2 linked regions of the Struthio camelus genome follow. The protein of the gene in region 1 interacts with the protein of each later gene in a pairwise test. Links are inferred from orthologs where the notes say so. Each region holds a gene or a part of one and is shown on either strand. Other genes may lie near its edges.

What was found. The genes of interacting proteins can lie anywhere in the genome.
Region 2: the proteins of TRIM54 (region 1) and DTX2 interact in binary tests that used the Homo sapiens proteins (3 or more experiments, as listed by UniProt). The two-hybrid records come from large-scale screens. The link is inferred for Struthio camelus from reciprocal best matches to the Homo sapiens genes TRIM54 and DTX2.

Annotation. Positions count from the first base shown.
Region 1 is NC_090944.1:1,035,485-1,044,891, forward strand, and holds the start of TRIM54 (tripartite motif-containing protein 54), read right to left. Parts: upstream 4,094-9,407; 5' UTR 4,012-4,093; coding exon 3,844-4,011; intron 2,293-3,843; coding exon 2,120-2,292; intron 717-2,119; coding exon 368-716; intron 1-367. Other genes in the region: DNAJC5G (dnaJ homolog subfamily C member 5G), read right to left, coding at 7,405-7,487, 8,126-8,279, 8,440-8,653, 9,146-9,258. UniProt on the Homo sapiens protein: May bind and stabilize microtubules during myotubes formation.
Region 2 is NC_090957.1:14,471,252-14,480,927, forward strand, and holds the start of DTX2 (probable E3 ubiquitin-protein ligase DTX2), read right to left. Parts: upstream 3,504-9,676; 5' UTR 1,449-3,503; coding exon 1,430-1,448; intron 1-1,429. UniProt on the Homo sapiens protein: Regulator of Notch signaling, a signaling pathway involved in cell-cell communications that regulates a broad spectrum of cell-fate determinations.

The DNA.
Region 1 (9,407 bases):
CGGGGGGAGCCCACCGCCCCGGCCCGGCCCCACCAGCCCCTCTGCCTTGGGGTTTGCCGGGTGACTTTCGGGCGCTGCCATTCGGGAGGGAATTCCTCTCCCGAGCCCGTTCCCAGCCCTGGAGCCTGCGTGCGCTGCTCGGGGGCCGTGCAGCCGGGGCTGGGGAAATCCTGAGCCCGGGGCCAGCGGGACGAGGTGCGAGGAGCCGTCCGGGCTCCCGCTCCCAGGGCGCTGGGGGCCGGCGCGCAGGCGCCCGGCTGCAGCACGGGGCTCACGCACCGGCACCGGCGCGATGCAGCCCCCAGCGCGGGGTCGGCTGGGGGGGGATGCAGGGCCCCCGGGGGCTGGGCCGTGCCCTGGCTCCCACCTCGATGGTCCGGCAGATCTCCTCCATTTGGGTGATGATGGCCTGGATGCGGTCGTTCCCCGCCACCAGCATGGCGATGCCGTCGCTGAGCTCGCTCTGGGGGCGAGACGGGTGTGAGGGCCGGCGGGGTGGGTGCCCCCCCCCCCAGCCCCACGCCGACCCGCCAGGGCCACCCACCTTCTGGCGCTGGTAGATGGCGGGCAGCGGCGCCACCTCGCAGTCCTTGTGCGCCCCGAAGACCTTGCAGAGGGAGCAGGTGGGCACCTCGCAGCGCAGGCAGTAGATGTTGATCCGCTCGTCCTCGTGCTCCTCGCACATGAGGTGCTGCTCCGCCTTGGCGTGCAGGGGCCTGCGGGGGGGCCGGGCGCCCATGCCCACCACGCGCCCCGGCACCCCGACGCCCACCAGCCCCGCGGCCCCGCAGGGGCCCTGCCACCCTCCCTCCCCTCCCCTGGCTCTAGGCCTGCGGCCCCCCCACGGGCTCCCTTAGATCCACGGGGCTCGGTTACCCCCGTGGGCTCCCCCCGTGGGCTCCCCTGGTGCCACCCCTGGCTCCCCCGTGGGCACCCTTAGATCCACGGGGCTCGGTTACCCCCGTGGGCTCCCCCCGTGGGCTCCCCTGGTGCCACCCCTGGCTCCCCCGTGGGCACCCTTAGATCCACGGGGCTCGGTCACCCCCGTGGGCTCCCCCCGTGGGCTCCCCCGGTGCCACCCCAGGCTCCCCCGTGGGCTCCCTTAGATCCACAGGGCTCGGTCACCCTGGGCTCCCCCCGTGGGCTTCCCCGGTGCCACCCCTGGCTCCCCCGTGGGCACCCTTAGATCCACGGGGCTCGGTCACCCCCGTGGGCTCCCCCCGTGGGCTCCCCCGGTGCCACCCCAGGCTCCCCCGTGGGCTCCCTTAGATCCACAGGGCTCGGTCACCCTGGGCTCCCCCCGTGGGCTTCCCCGGTGCCACCCCAGGCTCCCCCGTGGGCACCCTTAGATTCACGGGGCTCGGTCACCCCCGTGGGCTCCCCCCGTGGGCTCCCCTGGTGCCACCCCAGGCTCCCCCGTGGGCACCCTTAGATCCACAGGGCTCGGTCACCCTGGGCTCCCCCCGTGGGCTTCCCCGGTGCCACCCCAGGCTCCCCCGTGGGCACCCTTAGATCCACGGGGCTCGGTTACCCCCGTGGGCTCCCCCCATGGGCTCCCCCGGTGCCACCCCAGGCTCCCCCGTGGGCACCCTTAGATCCACAGGGCTCGGTTACCCCAGGATCCCCCAGTGGGCTCCCCCTGTGAGCTCCCCAGGTGCCACCCCTGGCTCCCCCCCGTGGGCGCCCTCAGATCCACGGGGCTCGGTCACCCCCGTGGGCTCCCCCCATGGGCTCCCCCGGTGCCACCCCAGGCTCCCCCGTGGGCTCCCTTAGATCCACGGGGCTCGGTTACCCCCGTGGGCTCCCCCCGTGGGCTCCCCTGGTGGCATCCCAGGCTCCCCCGTGGGCACCCTAAGATCCACGGGGCTCGGTCACCCCCGTGGGCTCCCCCCGTGGGCTCCCCCGGTGCCACCCCCGGCTGCCCCAGTGGGCTCCCCCGTGGGCTCCCCCGTGGGCTCCCCCGTGGGCTCCCTTAGATCCACGGGGCTCGGTCACCCCCGTGGGCTCCCCCCGTGGGCTCCTCCGGTGCCACCCCAGGCTCCCCCGTGGGCACCCTTAGATCCACGGGGCTCGGTCACCCCCGTGGGCTCCCCCGTGGGCTCCCCGGGGCCGGCCGCACCTGGCCGACTCCTGCTTGTAGATGTCGATGATGTTCTCCACGAGCAGGTTGCGCTGCAGCCCGTACACCCCGTGCCGGTCCAGCACCACCTCGTGGCGGCACGACGGGCACCGGAACCGGCCCCCCGACGGCACCGCGCTGGAGCCCCGCGACTGCCACAGCGGGTTGGACGCCTGGGGAGGGGGGACGGGGGGGGTCACAGGCCCCCCGAGGCACACGGGACCCCCCCCCCGGGGCACCGGCAGCCCCTCTCCCCCGGCCGCCCCGGGACGGGAGCTGGAGCGGGGGGAGCGGGCAGCCCTGCGCCCCGCCGCCGCCGGCCGACACGGGCTCCGGCCCCCTTCCCGGCCGGTCAGGGTCACACTGCCCCCCAACCCCGCCGGGGGGTCGGGGTCTGCTCCGGCCCCCTTCCCGGCCGGTCAGGGTCTCACTGCCCCCCCCGCCGGTGGTCGGGGTCTCACTGCCCCCCACCTCCCGCCGGTGGGTCGGGGTCTTGCTAACCCCCACCTCCGCCGGTGGGTCGGGGTCTGCTCCGGCCCCCTTCCCAGCCGGTCAGGGTCACACTGCCCCCCACCTCCCGCCAGTGGGTCGGGGTCTCACTGCCCCCCAACCCCGCCGGGGGGTCGGGGTCTGCTCCGGCCCCCTTCCCGGCCGGTCAGGGTCACACTGCCCCCCACCTCCCGCCGGGGGGTCGGGGTCTCACTGCCCCCCAACCCCGCCGGGGGGTCGGGGTCTGCTCCGGCCCCCTTCCCAGCCGGTCAGGGTCACACTGCCCCCCACCTCCCGCCGGGGGGTCGGGGTCTCACTGCCCCCCAACCCCGCCGGGGGGTCGGGGTCTGCTCCGGCCCCCTTCCCGGCCGGTCAGGGTCACACTGCCCCCCACCTCCCGCCAGTGGGTCGGGGTCTCACTGCCCCCCAACCCCGCCGGGGGGTCGGGGTCTGCTCCGGCCCCCTTCCCGGCCGGTCAGGGTCACACTGCCCCCCACCTCCCGCCAGTGGGTCGGGGTCTCACTGCCCCCCAACCCCGCCGGGGGGTCGGGGTCTGCTCCGGCCCCCTTCCCGGCCGGTCAGGGTCACACTGCCCCCCACCTCCCGCCAGTGGGTCGGGGTCTCACTGCCCCCCAACCCCGCCGGGGGGTCGGGGTCTGCTCCGGCCCCCTTCCCAGCCGGTCAGGGTCACACTGCCCCCCACCTCCCGCCGGGGGGTCGGGGTCTCACTGCCCCCCAACCCCGCCGGGGGGTCGGGGTCTGCTCCGGCCCCCTTCCCAGCCGGTCAGGGTCACACTGCCCCCCACCTCCCGCCGGTGGGTCGGGGTCTCACTGCCCCCCAACCCCGCCGGGGGGTCGGGGTCTGCTCCGGCCCCCTTCCCAGCCGGTCAGGGTCACACTGCCCCCCACCTCCCGCCAGTGGGTCGGGGTCTCACTGCCCCCCAACCCCGCCGGGGGGTCGGGGTCTGCTCCGGCCCCCTTCCCAGCCGGTCAGGGTCACACTGCCCCCCACCTCCCGCCGGTGGGTCGGGGTCTCACTGCCCCCCAACCCCGCCGGGGGGTCGGGGTCTGCTCCGGCCCCCTTCCCAGCCGGTCAGGGTCACACTGTCCCCCACCTCCCGCCGGGGGGTCGGGGTCTCACTGCCCCCCCCTGCCGGTGGGTCGGGGTCTCACTGCCCCCCAACCCCGCCGGTGGGTCGCGGTCGGCTCCGGCCCCCTTCCCGGCCGCCCCGCACCTGGAAGACGTCGTTGGCGCACTTGCGGCAGAGGTTGTGCTGGCAGGGCAGGATGACCACGGGCTTGGTGAACATCTCCAGGCAGATGGGGCAGATGAGCTGCTTCTCCAGGCTCTCCATGCTCCGCGCCTCCGCCAGCAGCGGCTTCAGCCCCACCGCGAAGTTCATCGCCGCGGTGCCCTCCTCGGCCCGGCCCGGCCCGGCCCGCTCCCGGCTCCTCTCCGGCTCCGCTCCGGTTCCGCTCCGGCCCCGCTCCCGGCTCCGCTCCGGCCCCGCTCCGGTTCCGCTCCGGTTCCGCTCCGGCCCCGCTCCGGCCCCGCTCCCGGCTCCGCTCCCGGCCCCGCTCCGGTTCCGCTCCGGCCCCGCTCCCGGCTCCGGCTCTGCTCCCGGCTCCGCTCCGGCCCCGCTCCTGCCCCGCTCCGGTTCCGCTCCGGCCCCGCTCCGGCCCCGCTCCGGCCCCGCTCCCGGCTCCGCTCCCGGCCCCGCTCCGGTTCCGCTCCGGCCCCGCTCCGGCCCCGCTCCGGCCCCGCTCCCGGCTCCGCTCCCGGCCCCGCTCCGGCCCCGCTCCCGGCTCCGGCTCTGCTCCCGGCTCCGCTCCGGTTCCGCTCCGGCCCCGCTCCCGGCTCCGGCTCTGCTCCCGGCCCCGCTCCGGTTCCGCTCCGGCCCCGCTCCCGGCTCCGGCTCTGCTCCCGGCTCCGCTCCGGTTCCGCTGTCCCACGCTCGCCCCGCTGCCGGCCCCGCTCTCGCTCCGGCCCCGCTGCCCCACGCTCGCCCCGCTGCCGGCCCCGCTCTCACTCCGGCCCCGCTGCCCCACGCTCGCCCCGCTGCGCCCGCGCTAATTTTAGCCGCCCGGGGCCTGCGCGGGGCCGCGGCAGCTGTCAGCGGCGTCGGGTGACACTGAGTCACGGCGCCCGGAGGGGGCCGCAACGCCCCCCGGGGCTACGCGCCCGGCCCCGCTCCCCTGCCCCGGCTGCCCTCCGTGGCCGGCCCTCGGCAGGTCCCCCTGGCCCCCCTCAGCCCCATGCCCCGTCCCCCCGGGACCACCCCATCCCGGTCCCCCTGGCCCCGCACTCCGTCCCCCCCGGGACCACCCCATCCCGGCCCCCCCAGCCCCGCACCCCATCACCCCCGGGACCATGCCATCCCGGTCCCCCTGGCCCCGCACTCCGTCCCCCCCAGGACCACCCCATCCCGGCCCCCCAGCCCTGTCTCTGCCTCTGCTCCGGATCCCGGCCAGCTGCGGGGGCACAGCCCCACGGGGCCAGCGGCAGCCCCTGGCCTGAAGGCAAGGACACCACCACCCCCTGCCAGTCCCTTCCCCAGCCCACGCAGCACAGCAGGGGACCATGCCGGGCGCCATTCCCAGGTGCCATCCCCGCTCCCAATCCCAGGACCCAGGGCTGCCTCCCCCCTCGCAGCCGGCCTCGAGCGCGCGGTGGGGCAGACCCCCCCTGTGCTGCCTGCACTGCTCCCCTGGGACAGGCCAGCTGCTCCCTGGGGACCCTCAGGGCAGCAGGGCTCCCCTGCAGCCCCCCCCCACAGGAACAAAGACGGGGCCGGGGCCGGGGCCCCTGCCCGGGCCGAGGCAGCAGGGTGGGGAGGAGGCTCCAGCCAGGCTGGCACAGGGTCAGCAGAGCTCAGCCGCCCGCCAGGCCCAGGAGGAACAAAGCTGCCTGGCGGCCAGGTTCTTGCCCAACTCGGGGAGGGTACATGCCCTTCCCGGGAGATAACGGAGCTGGGAGCAGGCTCGGGTCCCGTGAGCCCTGGCCAGAGCCAGCCCCCCCCAAGCACCGACATGGAAAAACGCCCGCCAACACTGGTGCCAGGGACACCCCCGTCCCGCACCGCTTGCCCTGACACTCCGGCTATATTTAGTGGGTGAGGCAGCGCGCACAGCTGCAGGCTGGGAGACAAGGGCCAGGGCAGCCCGCTCGCCCCTTCTCCCAGCCTGGCACAGGGCAGGGACCATCCGGGACACGCACGCGGAGCCATCAGCTGGCACACGCGCTGCCAGCGGTGGAAGCGGAGCCGGGGGGGCCGAGCTGTTTCTGGCAGGCGCAGAGCAGGCCTGGCCCTTGCGCAGGGGCACGCCGCACCGCTGCGGGCGCTGCCTCAGCCCCGGCGCGCCAGCCTGGCACCCCAGCGCCTCATCCAGCGGCACGGGGACAGATCCAGGCCGCACAGGGCTGTAGGGCCACAGTCTGCCTCCCGCCCCGGGCAGGAGGGGGAAGAGGGCGGCCGCGGCACAGCGTGTCGGCAGCAGGAGGAAGGACAAGTCCCTTCGCGCACCGGTGGGTGCTGGAGCTCCCAGCGCCCCCGTTAGCCCAGCAGGACCAGGGTGCCCCAGCCTGGCTCCGGCTGCCCTGGGACTGCCCTGCCCAGCCCAGCCGCAGGGCCCGGGAAAGGCCTGGAGCCCTGCTGGGCAGCACCCTCGGGAGGGCGCGGAGCTCTCCCCGGAAGCTGACAGGAGGCAGAACAACTTTCACTCCTGTCGCCAACTGTCCCCTCTGGCAGCACTCGGGCTGCGACCCACCGACCCTTCCTCGGCCCGCCACCCCTATGGTACGGCCACGGCTCTCAGCCAGAGCAGGGCAGAGCCAGGGAAGGGCACGTCCCACCGCCTGAGAGCGTTCAGGCGGCTCTTGCCGGGGTAGAGACCACACAGAAACATGTTCCCCTCCCATCATCCTTTAATGGTGCCCATAAAACCTATACAAACCCAAGGAAAGTGCCTGTGCCTGGGCCCAGCCCTGCAGGGAGCCTGCCAGCAACAGGCAGAAGGGGGTGCAGCCGGCGCCCCGCGACCACGGGGGCACAGAGCAAGGAGGTACAGAAGGCCGCACCCCAGCCCCGCGAGCGGCGTTTGGCACCCAGCACCCGTAAGGAGGGTCCCCACGTGGGCAGGTAGCGGGCTCAGCCCAGCCCCAGGGATTACAGTGCTAATGGTCTCTAATACCCTCGGCCGCTTCCTGCAGGCTGCGGAGCCTGGGCCAGGCGGCCTCCGCGCGCTGCTGGGCCCCAAGGAAAGCAACCGGCTCTGGCAACGGGCTGCCGCCACAGCCGCAAGCAGCGGCCCCCAGTCAAGCCAGAGCCAGCAGGGCAGCAAGGGGCCGAGGCGCACACGGGCCGGGGCGCCCGGTGCTGCTGGTGAGCGGCCAGGCCACGCACCGGGCTGGTCCCAGCAGGGAGCCAGTCCCGGCCTCTCCAGTCTTAGTCCAGTCACAGTGGATCCAGTCTGCCTTCAGCGGGGCCTCACCTGAGAGCTAGCGCCCAGGGCTGGGCTGGGACACAGCAGCAGAAGAGGCACTGCGGATGGGGCACAGCAGCAAGGGGCTCCAGGCCACCTCTGTTGCCAGTGCGGGGATGCAGGGTATCTCTGTGGAGCTCGAACAGGGGCACAAGAGCCTCTGCACTGATGCTGGCTAATTTAACCTGAGATTCTAGCCACAGTGAGGCTGGACAGCCACCCTGGGTGGCACGACAGGGGTCCTGGAGAGGGACAGTCCCAAAGGGGGATCCCTGCCCAGAGTCCTGGGGCTGTTGGCGGGGCTGAGGCCAGCCTCATGCGTCCGTCTTGGTGCTGACACCCGGCGACGGCTCTGCTCCAGCAGGTGGGGGCTGGGCCACAATAGGTGTCTGCACATCTGGAAAAGAAGACCTGCAGGTCAGCGGCTAAATCCCATGCTGCGGTGCCAGGAAACAGCTGCTTGTGACATCCCAGCACCCTCATTCAGCCTCCCACGAACCACAGCTCTCCAGCCCCATCTGACAAGGGCCCACACCTCCAGCCAGCGCGCAGCCACTCCAGCAGTGCCCCCTACCCCAGGGAAGCCTGCAGAGATGACCAGGATCACTCCAAATCCCAGAGTATTTCAGATTGTAGATACCAGCACAGCCACTGCCTACCAGCACTGGGAATGGGACCAGCCTAGAGCACGGCTGCTCTCCCCACGCTCCTTCCCCAAGGATTTCTAGATCCCAGAGCTGTGCCTTCAGGGAGACCTTTCCCAAGGGAAATCAAGGAAGCACAAGATATTCTCCATGAACCCTGCGCAAGAGTTCCCTCTACCAGCTGCCACCAGCCAAGACCCAAGCTGGAAACACCAAGCGTCAGCCCTTGAGCAGCAGATGATGCTAAGTCAGACCCTACTGTTTAACAAGAGCCCGGTCTCCCCAGACAAGACCAGACCTCCCCCAGAAACCCCGTGCAGCAGGAGCAAGCCAGGCACTCCCAGACGCAGGAGCTGGGCACACAAAAGGGAACAGAGACTGCCTAACTCACTGTTGTCCTCCGCACGGATCTGCGCCTCCAGGTCTTCGGGGTTGACATACTTGTAGGACTCGTCCTCCTCAGGTGGTCGGCACCTCCCGCAGCAGAAGCAGCAGCAGCAGCAGCAGCAACAGCAGGTGATGATACCACAGCACAGACCCAGGGCCTGCGCGGGGGCAGGCGCGCTGTGAGACACCTGAGCCCGCCGGCAGCCCAGGCCCCGCTGCGGCCCCCCGGCCCCAGGCTGCCCTGCCCGGCAGCGGCCCCCGAGCCCTGCGGCGTGGGGCCCGGCAGCGGCAGGCGCGCGGTGGCGGGGCAGGGCTCACCTTGAACCACCACTTGGACATGAGGAAGTAGTACTTGACGCTGTCCTCGCCGAACTGCTCGGCCACGTAGAGCCCCATGGAGCCGTACTCGGCGTAGACGCGCCGCTTGTCCTCGTCGCTCAGCGTGGCGTGGGCGCTGTTGATCTCCTTGAAGCGCTCGGCCGCCGCCGGGTCGTCGGGGTTCTTGTCCGGGTGGTACTTGAGGGCCAGCTTCCTGCGGGGCACCGCGGCTGGCAGGGCACGGCACCGGCCCCCCGGCCCGGCCCGGCCCCCCGCCAGCCCCCACCAGGCCCCGTCCCCCCGCCGGCCCCCGGCCCGACCCCCCGCCAGCCCCCACCAGGCCCCGTCCCCCCGCCAGCCCCCACCAGGCCCCGTCCCCCCGCCGCCCCCCGGCCCGACCCCCCGCCAGCCCCCACCAGGCCCCGTCCCCCCGCCGCCCCCCGGCCCGACCCCCCGCCAGCCCCCACCAGGCCCCGGCCCCCCGCCGCCCCCCGGCCCGGCCCCCCGCCAGCCCCCACCAGGCCCCGGCCCCCCGCTGCCCCCCGGCCCGGTCCCCCGCCAGCCCCCACCAGGCCCCGTCCCCCCGCCGACCCCCGGCCCGGCCCCCCGCCAGCCCCCGCCAGGCCCCGACCCGGCCCCCCGCCGCCGCCGCCCCCCGGCCCGGCCCGGCCCGGCCCAGCTCGCCCCGTCCCGGCCCTCCCCGTACCGGTAGGCCTTCTTGATCTCCTCGGGGGAGGCGCCCTTCTCCAGGCCCAGGACATGATAGAGGCTCTCCCCGGCCCGCGACAGCTTCCGCTGCGGCCGGCTGGGCTCCGCCATCCCGCCTGCGGCGACGAGCACCGGCGGCGCGTCACGGCCCGGCCCGGCGCCCCTCACCGCCGCCGCCGCCGCCGCCGCTTCCGCACGGCCGCCCCGTCTGCGCCTGCGCGCACCGCCCCGCCCCGCGCAGGCGCGCTGGGAGCGGCGGC
Region 2 (9,676 bases), on another chromosome or scaffold:
TAGCTCTCAAACTACCCCAACACAAGTTGCCAGCTTGTGAGTAGGAGCTCTCTGAGCACTTGTGAACACAAACGACTTGGTTATACAAGTGTTTCATAAACTCTTCTTGCTGTCATCCGAACTTCGGGGCTGCAATGCCAGTTCTGCTCAGACTTCTGGTTATTCAGTTTTGATCCAGAATCAGTCCCTTGAGTCCCTCTGTGTAGCATTATACATTCACACAAAACCAGAAGGTAATCCTTTATGCCCAACCCAAGAGTCTGCAAATCACACTATGACAAAGCAATGTTAAGATCGATCTGAATGAAGAATGGATGGAAATGTGTGAGTATGGAGGCATCAGATGTATTAAAGGGCATATGAAACTGCATTTACTGATGGCACTTAGATTAAGATCCCACCACACCTACCTGCAGCTTCTCAGGTTGGAAAACAAGGGACATCCTGAAACAAGGGATGTCACAAGATTCAAGCCATTAAGAGATGATCTTGAGAAGAATAGAGAATAGGAGCCTTAAGACACCCAGATAAAAAGACAAAGGCTAGTGAGTAAATCCTGATGACTCACAGAAGAGTGACAGGATGCAGAGACAAAAGATCACAGTTACCGTTAGCTCCCAAAGTATATAAAAAGGCAGACACAAAGCCAGCACATGACAGTCAAACTAAGAGTCCAAGAGACATCTGGAGGACTTAATAGCTGGCATCCCTTGTCTGCTGTGTCACTGCAAGGAATCCTGTCCAGACCACCTGGACACGTGCATCTTGGTGCCTGAATGCTGCACAGACCCCTTGGAGAAACCCACATTGGTGCTTGTGTGCAGGTGGATATGACAGCATGAGCGTGAATGAGCAAAGCCAATTTTATTCTAAAATAAAATCACTTTCTCCCTCCTAAGGTCTCACGATGCCGAGTGCTCACTTTACTACCAGCCAACAGGGAGCTATGAGCCTCCTTTTTGTCAAATAGAAAGGTTTAGGTCCCCAAGATGCAGATAACTAGTGGGTGGTATCCACTGGAGGATGCCATCTGCATGGAGAATTACACTCCTACCGGATGGGGGAAGATCCCAAGCTGCTTGGAGCGTCCCATCCATCACTCTTGCATGGTTCACTAGCTTAAAAAAGGAAAAAAAAAGGAGCAAAGACACACCCACGTGTCTGCATTTATAAGAAGAAACCAACACTTTCTCCAGGAATTCAATGAAAATTAGTTATGAGCTGCTCTATGAGATTTTTACAGAACATCCCCAGCTTGACTGCTGTTGGCAACAAACCGCTTTAGATTACCAACAGCAGAAGGCTCTGGTCACAAAAATCATTTTTTGCTGTAACTCATTCTCCACCTAATGTACCAGGGATGGTTATTTTCCTGTTCAAAACAGTAAATTACTTCACACAAACCTCTGGTATCAAACTTGACACCTACCTCTGCTGCTTCTTTTCATGGCAGGTTTCACGCCAACACTATTACTCCTCAGAGACCGTCAGCATTTCCACGCTCTGCTTGAACAAGTATGAGTTTCTGTCCTCCCCAGTATGGGGCTGTACACACTCATTAGATGCTCTGAACCCCAATTAGAGAACAGACACCTTTTTTTCCCCAAAGTCTTCTTTAACAAACACTGATCTGCAGATCTTCAGCCACCAGCAGAGCAGGCGACCAGTAGGAGGATTTTTGAAGGGAGTCAGCAGTTTGTTTTCCTTCCTTTTTAAAATATAGTGGCAGGAAATGGAAAAAAGAAGGAATCACAGCAGAAAAACACCGAGCGCCACCTCGTTTACATACCACCTTGCACTCACTGCAACACTGGCCAAGACTGGCTGAGACCAGAGAGGTAACAAAGGTCTATTATTCACTTCCTCGGAAGGCAGCGACGCTTTGAATTCTGGACCACACGCACCAACCCGCTCCCACACACAAGCAAAGGTACCCGACTGGCTGCATGCGAGCATGGTGTGCTCTGACATTCACTCCCCATCAGTAAGGAGAGCTATTTCCTGCACTGGGAATGCAGGTCCCAAGGAGTAAGGAGTGTATTTCAGCCTCTTCTTGTCACTGAATAGTGCTCTAGCTGGCAGCTGTTTGCAAGGATTGGGAAGCAAGGAACGCACACCATCAGTCACAGGAGAGAACTTCAGTATGCCAAAATTACAAGAGTATCCGAGTTAAGGCACAGAAGGGGGGAAAAAGACACAAGTTGCAGTTCCTTCCCCCTTTCATGAATTCAGTGACACACAAACATTAAAAGCTGAGAAATTCAATATGAAAGCTGCTCGTCTACCCCCTTGGGCTGCTGTGCACATTACACAGGCATACAGAGAGGTTTGGGGTGGGTTGCTAACACAGCTTTATGGATATGGCTGTGGCTTTGGATGCGTTATATATCCTACACCCACTTTGCTGGCATAGTGTTTGGGATGCTAGCAGCAGCAATTCAGCATTACCATCTACAGCATGCCAACGCAGCTCTCTCCTGACCCTGCTTGCCTGCTGCACCAGCTCCTTTACGCTGGCTCTGTTCTGGGGAGATTTGCAACCACTGAGAGAGTAGCTACATGTCTTTGTTAAAATCCCTCAGACTAACCCTTCACCTTTAATTTTAAAAAGAACCTGAAAGTCAAACCTACCCCAAAGAGCTATGTTTATTCAGCAAATAATCCTGGCTCCAATTAGAAATCCTAGTGGGCCACCTTGCCCCAAATGAAAACAAACCCCCTGCTACTTGAAGTGGATACTTAAAACAGTCCAGCCAACTGTCCTCCACTTTGGAGGTGATTTTTAACTTCGGCTCACATCCTGAATTTGGATTTGTTTGGTTTGATCTCTATGCCCCAGCACACCTGTCGTAATATCTGCCCACAAGGCTTTATTTAACTGGGGACTTGGACAAGTTAAAGAATTTGGTGCATTTCAGTTGTGTTTCCCAGCAGATTCGCCTCCTGCTCCTCGAGCTCCAGCAAAACATGGGGAGAAAGCTGGGGAGGGACAGGCAGGAACGAGGGGAATTAAAACATTTGAAAGACATTTAATTCTCAGACCTGTTCTACTTACCATAAAATTGAATTTTCTTTTCCTTTGAAAGTAAGGTCTTAAAAGTCAAAAATGGTTTCTAAAAACCCCACATCCCTTTTTAAGTTTCTGACCTGAAATTGCCAGTGCTAACAAGAAGTTACATGGTGAGCTAGTTTGTACCACAAGTGCAAGAGAGAAGGCCTCAGGAGTCCTTGGGCTTGGCTGGGGTTGCAGGCTCTGTTCAAAAATCACCAGAATGAGAGTCTTCAGAACACGGAGATGTTTCGGCACGTTGTTCAGACACAAGGGTGCCCAGGAGAGACTTGTTAGTGCCACTAACAGCATACGAGAGGTGGCACTGGAAGAGTTACAGACAAGCCCTTATAGATAACTGCTGGAAAAAGATTATACACTGATTAAAAGCGTATGTAAAATAGAAGAAAGCAGTGAGACTGTAATAAGGCAGGGACCCTCGGCAGAGGGGGTGCCTCACTGGAACAGTATTTGATATGCCCTGTGCCACTGCAATGCCAAATGGAAGAGCAGCTAGCCCCCTTGCAGCACCCCGTGACATCTAATCCCCCCCCCCCGGTCTGGACCCAGCGCAACAGGAGCTGCAAATATACTCATGCAACAGGTCCTCTGCAGGCTCTCTGCAAGGGATGAAGCTCCTGCTGGATAACTGAGGGGAACATACTGCAAATGAAAACGGGGCCTCAACTCACAAATCCCAAACCCTTCATTGCTCCTGGGCCATCTGGGCCCAATGGGACACAGCCTGACTCCACCCACAGAGCAAGACTGCCCAGCTAAGCTCACTGCTGCTCAGAGACTTTGCTCTCCAGCCATCTGTGGTCTGATTGCTGGCAAAAGAGGCTGTAATTGCTGCTTCAAGCCCCCAGTTTCCACCTGCGCTGGGGAATATTTTGCAAAAAGACACTCTGTCCTGACCAGGAACTCAGGAAGATGAGCAGGTGACACCATCAGGCCACAACGGTGTCCACAGGGAGAAATGGGAACCGTTTAACCAAGCAAAGATCAGGAGAGGCCAGTCCTTTCCCCAGCTCTGCCATCTTGGGGAAGCCATTTAATTGTTTCCAGTCACCTGACTTCTGTCGCTTTGGCTATCCTAAGCACTCCTTTCCGTACACACATGTCCAGCGCCGAGTAGCACAACAGCTAGCAGCGACCCAGAAGATGGGGAAGGATAGAGCAAAATGGTAGAGGGGAGGTCGCAGTCGGGGTCAGACCTAGACACAGTCCTGCTTTCTTGTAGCCTTCGCTGGTAATCACAGCACAAGGTGGCTGGGTTGGCAGCCAAAAGAACAGAAGAAATAAAACCTGTCCACCCAAAACCTGGATTCCCTCCATTCAAAACAAATTTCAAGAAAATTCCCTTTGGAGGAGGAAATAAAGAGTGTAACTGGAGCAGAACAAAGCATTTGCCTATCAACTAGGCAGAGCACTTATTTCAGGCACAAATGAATAGGAATGCTGAGGCAAAGGGAACAGGGTAGGTACACTTGAATATAAGAACAGTTGCCTGGCATCAAACCAAACCCAGCATCCTGCTCACTTGCTCCAGGGTCCTTCCAGGGCACTGAAATAGAAGATTATCGACTTGGAGGGAGATTATTTACTCATGGGAGTGCAAACCTGGCAAAATCTGGAGGGCTTCTCCATTTTCGCCAAAGCTTCAGCTAGTAACAAGAAAGCTTTTATTTATTTATTTTCTTTTTGCAGGTAGAAAGAAAATCTCCTACCCAGTCTCAGGAAGCCAATTCTCTCAACAGACCAGCACCCATGTCATTTAGAGAAGTTCCCTACTGGACCATGCAGCTGGATTCCAAAATACTATATGAGAAGTCAAAAGTCAAGTCCCTGCCAATGGGAGCTGGTGATTCATTCAATTCACAGCCAGTCCTGCCACTTTGCCACATAACACACCCATTAGAAGTTAAAGATGACCTTAGAAGATTTAAATAAAACACCACACGGCACAAACAGATTTACATCAACAAACTCTTACCACTTCCTTGCTTAAATATACTATCTCCTTGTTTAAACACCAGAAAGCACTTACAGTTACCCACAGACAATTTGCTATTTCCAAGATCCTTTTGCAGACCTACCCTCAGCTTCGGAGGTAAATCAGGAGTTGTCCAGGCAGTAACGAACACCCACACAAACATGAGAGACCATGGGCTGGAAGCAAAGAAGGAACTTAGAGTTTGATGCAAGGAGAACTATGTCCTTGCTCTCTAGGCCGTATAACCATAGCACAATTCATTAAGCACAATAAAGCTAAGGCAGCAGACTTTCAAGAGCACTATGGGATGATTCCTCGAGACAGAGAGGAGCTGCCCTGAGAGCCCAGAGCTTCCAAAAGACGGAGACCCCACTCCCAGCTGCCTGCTCCTGCTATGCACTTTGTATGAGCTCTGCTGCCTGTCAGATCCCTCTGCAGGAATAATCAAATCACTAACCCAGCAGAAAACGAAACCAGGGGAAAACGCAGATAGCTTTCTGTTGGGATAGCAAGTTGAAACGGCTCTGCAGGACTGGCAGGAGGACTTTGCCCACCCAGCAGTGGAGAACGCCTTGCAGAACCAGAGGTGCAGAGGAGTTTGGCAGCACTACATCTCATCAACGTTCGCTTCTGCTGTTTAGGTTTGTAATTCACCCCAGACCCTCACTGTCCAAGGCTGGTACTCAAACCCAGCTCTCCAGCAAAAAGGCTGTCGTCTACTGTCCAGGTAGACAAAAGGAAGCCTGTTTAAAGTAATCCAAACCTTCTGCTTGTTAGGCAACTGAGTCACGGAGCAACTACATGATTAAGCCAGGGTTTAAAAGCAGTCCTAGCACAGTCAAGACTCGGTCACGGGAGGCTGAAGTCTGCGGCAAGCCCCTTTCTTTCCCTTCCTTTCCCAATGTGATAAGGACAGGTCTGCAGAGGTTTCTCCGAGCCCTCTCAGAGCCAGGAGCAGAAGAGCTGGTTTCGCAGCAGCGCGCTCTTCCTCCCAAAGGGCCCCCGCGCCGAGGGCAGCCCCAGCGCAGCCACCGCACGCCGCGAAAAGCAAACCGGCGTCTCGGCCGCAGCGCGGCCGGGCCCGCACCCGGCCGGGCCGCCCGGCGGCGAACGGCGCCGGTTCGAGGCCCCGCTGGGGCGCCGCGGCCGACAGACCTGGAGCGGCTCCCCCGCCACGGGCGCCGGCCCGGCCCGCGGCGGCTCGGCCAGGAGCAGGGGTGGCCCGGGGGCTGCGGCCCGGCCGGCACCCAAACGCCTTAACGACCCGCCGCCCCCGGCCGTGCCCGGGCTCGCTCCGGCACTGCCGCCGCGCCAGGCCCCGGCCCCGACCGCCCCGGCACCGACCCCGGAGCCGGCAAGGCGCCGGACCCCACCGCCGCCCCGGCCCGGCCGAGCGGAGCGGAGCGGAGCGGAGCGGAGCGGAGCTGGGCTGATCCCCGGCGCGCAGCCGCCCCCGCCCCCGCCCCCCCCGCAGGCCCGGGCCGGCCGAGCCCCTCACCGTGACTCCCGGCGGCGGCGGCGGCGGTTGCTCGCGGGGCAGCCACTTCCCGGCCGACAGCGGCGGGGCGGCAGCGCGCATGCGCCGCGCGCGGCCGCCTGGGAGATGTAGTGCGGGGGGAGGGGCGCGGGTGGGGGGTGTGTGTTTGTGTGTGGTCGGTGTGTGCATGCATGTGTGTGCGTGTGCATCCGTGTGTGTGTGTGCATGTGTGTGCGTGTGTGCACGTCTGTGTGTGTGTGTGTGCACGTCTGTGTGTGTGTGTGTGTGTGTGTGTGTGCACATATGCGCGTGTATGTGTGGGTGGGTGTGCGTGCGGGTGGGTGTGCATGCGTGTGAGTGTGTGTGCACGTCTGTGTGCACGTCTGTGTGTGTGCATGCGTGTGTGTGCACATGTGTGCGTGCATGTGTGTGTGTGTGTATGCACGTCTGTGTGTGCGTGCATGCATGTGTGTGCATATGTGTGCACGTCTGTGTGCACGTGTGTGCATGCATGTGTGCATGTGCATGCGTGTGTGTGCACATGGGTGTGAGCATGTGTGTGCACATGTGTGAGCGTGCATGTGTGCACGTGTGTGTGTGTGTGTGTGTGTGTGCGCGCACATGCCTGCGTGTGCGTGCGTGCACGCAGAGGGCTGGAGGGCCGGAGACAAGCGCGGGGTGCGAGCGAGGCGGCTGGGGACGAGGCAGGCGCGGGGGCGCGGCAGCAGGCCCGGCAGTGGCGTGCGCCGCTGCCCTGCTGCCCCGGTGCGTGGCCGGAAGGCGGCCGACCGCCACGGAGCCCAGCGCCCTGCCGGCGACGCAGCCCCCTCGGGCCCGCGGGGCCAGGGCCCTCTCCGCCGGCGGCAGGCTACGTGGCCCGCGGCGGCCTGTCGTGGCCTGTGGAGGCCCATGATGGCCTGCTGTGGCGGCCCATGGCAGCCTGTGGCGGCCTGTGGAGGCCCGTGGCGGCCTGTTGTGGCCTGTGGAGGCTCATGACAGCCTGTCGCAGCCTGTGGAGGCCCATGGTGGCCCGTGGCAGCCTGTCGTGGCCCATGGCGGCCTGTCACGGCCCGTGGTGGCCCGTGGCAGCCTATTGTGGCCTGTGGAGGCCCATGGTGGCCCGTGGCGGCCTGTTACGGCCCATGGTGGCCTGTCGTGGCCCATGGTGGCCCGTGGTGGCCTGTGGAGGCCCATGGCGGCCTGTCGCGGCCTGTCGCGGCCCGTGGGGGTGGCCCGAGGTCTCCTTGTGCAGCGCCGGCCGCCCAGCTGGCCCTGGTGTCACTCCTGTTCCCCTCTGCTCGAGGAGGACGCCTCCGCTCCTCCGCCTCGGTCCTTAGCCCAAGAGCCTCCAGCTCTGCCTCTCCTCCCGCCCGCGAGAGCCGCCCGCCTCTCGCCCTCAGCCCCGGGCGGGTTTTCTTTGTGTCTCTCCCCTTGCTTACACCTCCTAAAGAGGGAGGATCGGAGGCAGGCCTTGTACTGTGTTTGCAGAGAGCGTCTGGAGAAAAGCGCCTTTACCCCGTAAAACGGCGTGGGCGATGCGATACCGCTAAAGCGGGGTGACCGCAACAGCCTGCCTTCCTGGTTGCCTCTGCGTAACCAGGCCAGCGCTGGCGGTCTGGTGCGTCCGTGCGGGAGACGGCAGGAGTTCTCCCAAACTAGAAAGTGTTCTTTGGCTGTCAATAATTTAGGGTCCCTACGAAGATTTATATATACAGATTAATCCTGAATGTGTGTGAAATTTTCCGCATCGCTTCGTTGGGTGACGCTCTGAATATGAGACAGGCCTCATGGGACTGAACGAGAAGCTTCACAACCGGCATCCAGGCAGCGCTAATCATTGCGCTTGTGCCTGCAGGTGGTGCAGGCAGGATTATGAAAGCAACAGAAAAAGGGAGAAGCACCTGCTGGATTAAAGGGCCTTTTTGTGTTTCAGTGTAAAGGTGAGCAGCAAAGAGAGAACGAGATTTGTGCCCTTCAAAGACCTGGAAACGGGGAGAGAAGCCCAGGGAGGTTGTCAGTGCTCTCCGCTGAGTGTTCTGGGCCGAGCTAAATCAAGGCCTTTTGCAGGGACAATCCAGGATTAGTAAGAAAGAGCAGGAGATAAAGTGACCTCACTCTTCCTTACTCTTGAGACCTTGAAGATTTTTGTTTTGATGCCTTTTGTTGAAATCTTTTTGTCATATAGAACAAGAGCGAGATTGGTGCTGTTGCTTAGCAATTGATACGTAGCTCTAGCTCTCTTCTGTGCCTTGGAGCAGCTTTGCTTTCTCTGTTCTCCCGCCCCTTTGGATTTAGCGAGGGTCAGGTTTTGATCTCAGTGATGGGAAAGGTGTACAGGGCTGGGAAAGGTTTGAAATGCTTTGTGGATTTGCCAAGTATTGAACGCACACCTGCAGGATTGCAAAACAATTGGAGAAGTTTGGGAGGCTGTCAAAACTTTCAACTTCCGCTCAGATCTCATGGAGGAGCATATAAATCTGAAGCTGAGTAGCCTGGCAGCTGCTTTCTTCTGTTTCTTGTATCTCTTATCTGCTGGTTGGGTTTCTGCAAAGCAAATCGCACTAGAAAGATGGGGTAGCATGCGTCGCTGCTCATGGCTGGAGATGAATGGCTTTCAGTGGTCCTGGATCTCCATGGACCATGTTGGATTGGGGTCTCCTCCTGCCTCAGATTCTAGGCTGACTTGGGTCCTGGGATAAAGAATTTGTTGTTTTTAGAGAAATGGCAGATATACTAATGTTCGCAGTACTGTTAACTTCATGCTCACAGCTGAGTAGAATACACAGATATGCTGTATATATGTATACTTATATGAATACATGTGATGTCTGTGCCTCTTTAGAGGTAAAGCCAGGAACTCTGCTTAGTGCTGCTAGATGTAAACTTTGGGCACTGCTTTCTGGGCACTAACTCGTTTTGTTGGAGGTGGCTCATGATTCTTAGGGAGGCTATAACTACCTAGAACCAAATTCAGCTGAGGGACTGATCAGCTGCTCAGCCATGTCCTTGAGGAGAGGTTATTTTTTGTTTCATTTACAGTTGTGTAAATCAGAAATAACTCCCTGGAGATGACTGACATGTTGGTTGTTTAAGCACAGAATGAGAATCATTAAATACAACACATCTGCAGAGCAGGTATCTCACAACTGAGCAC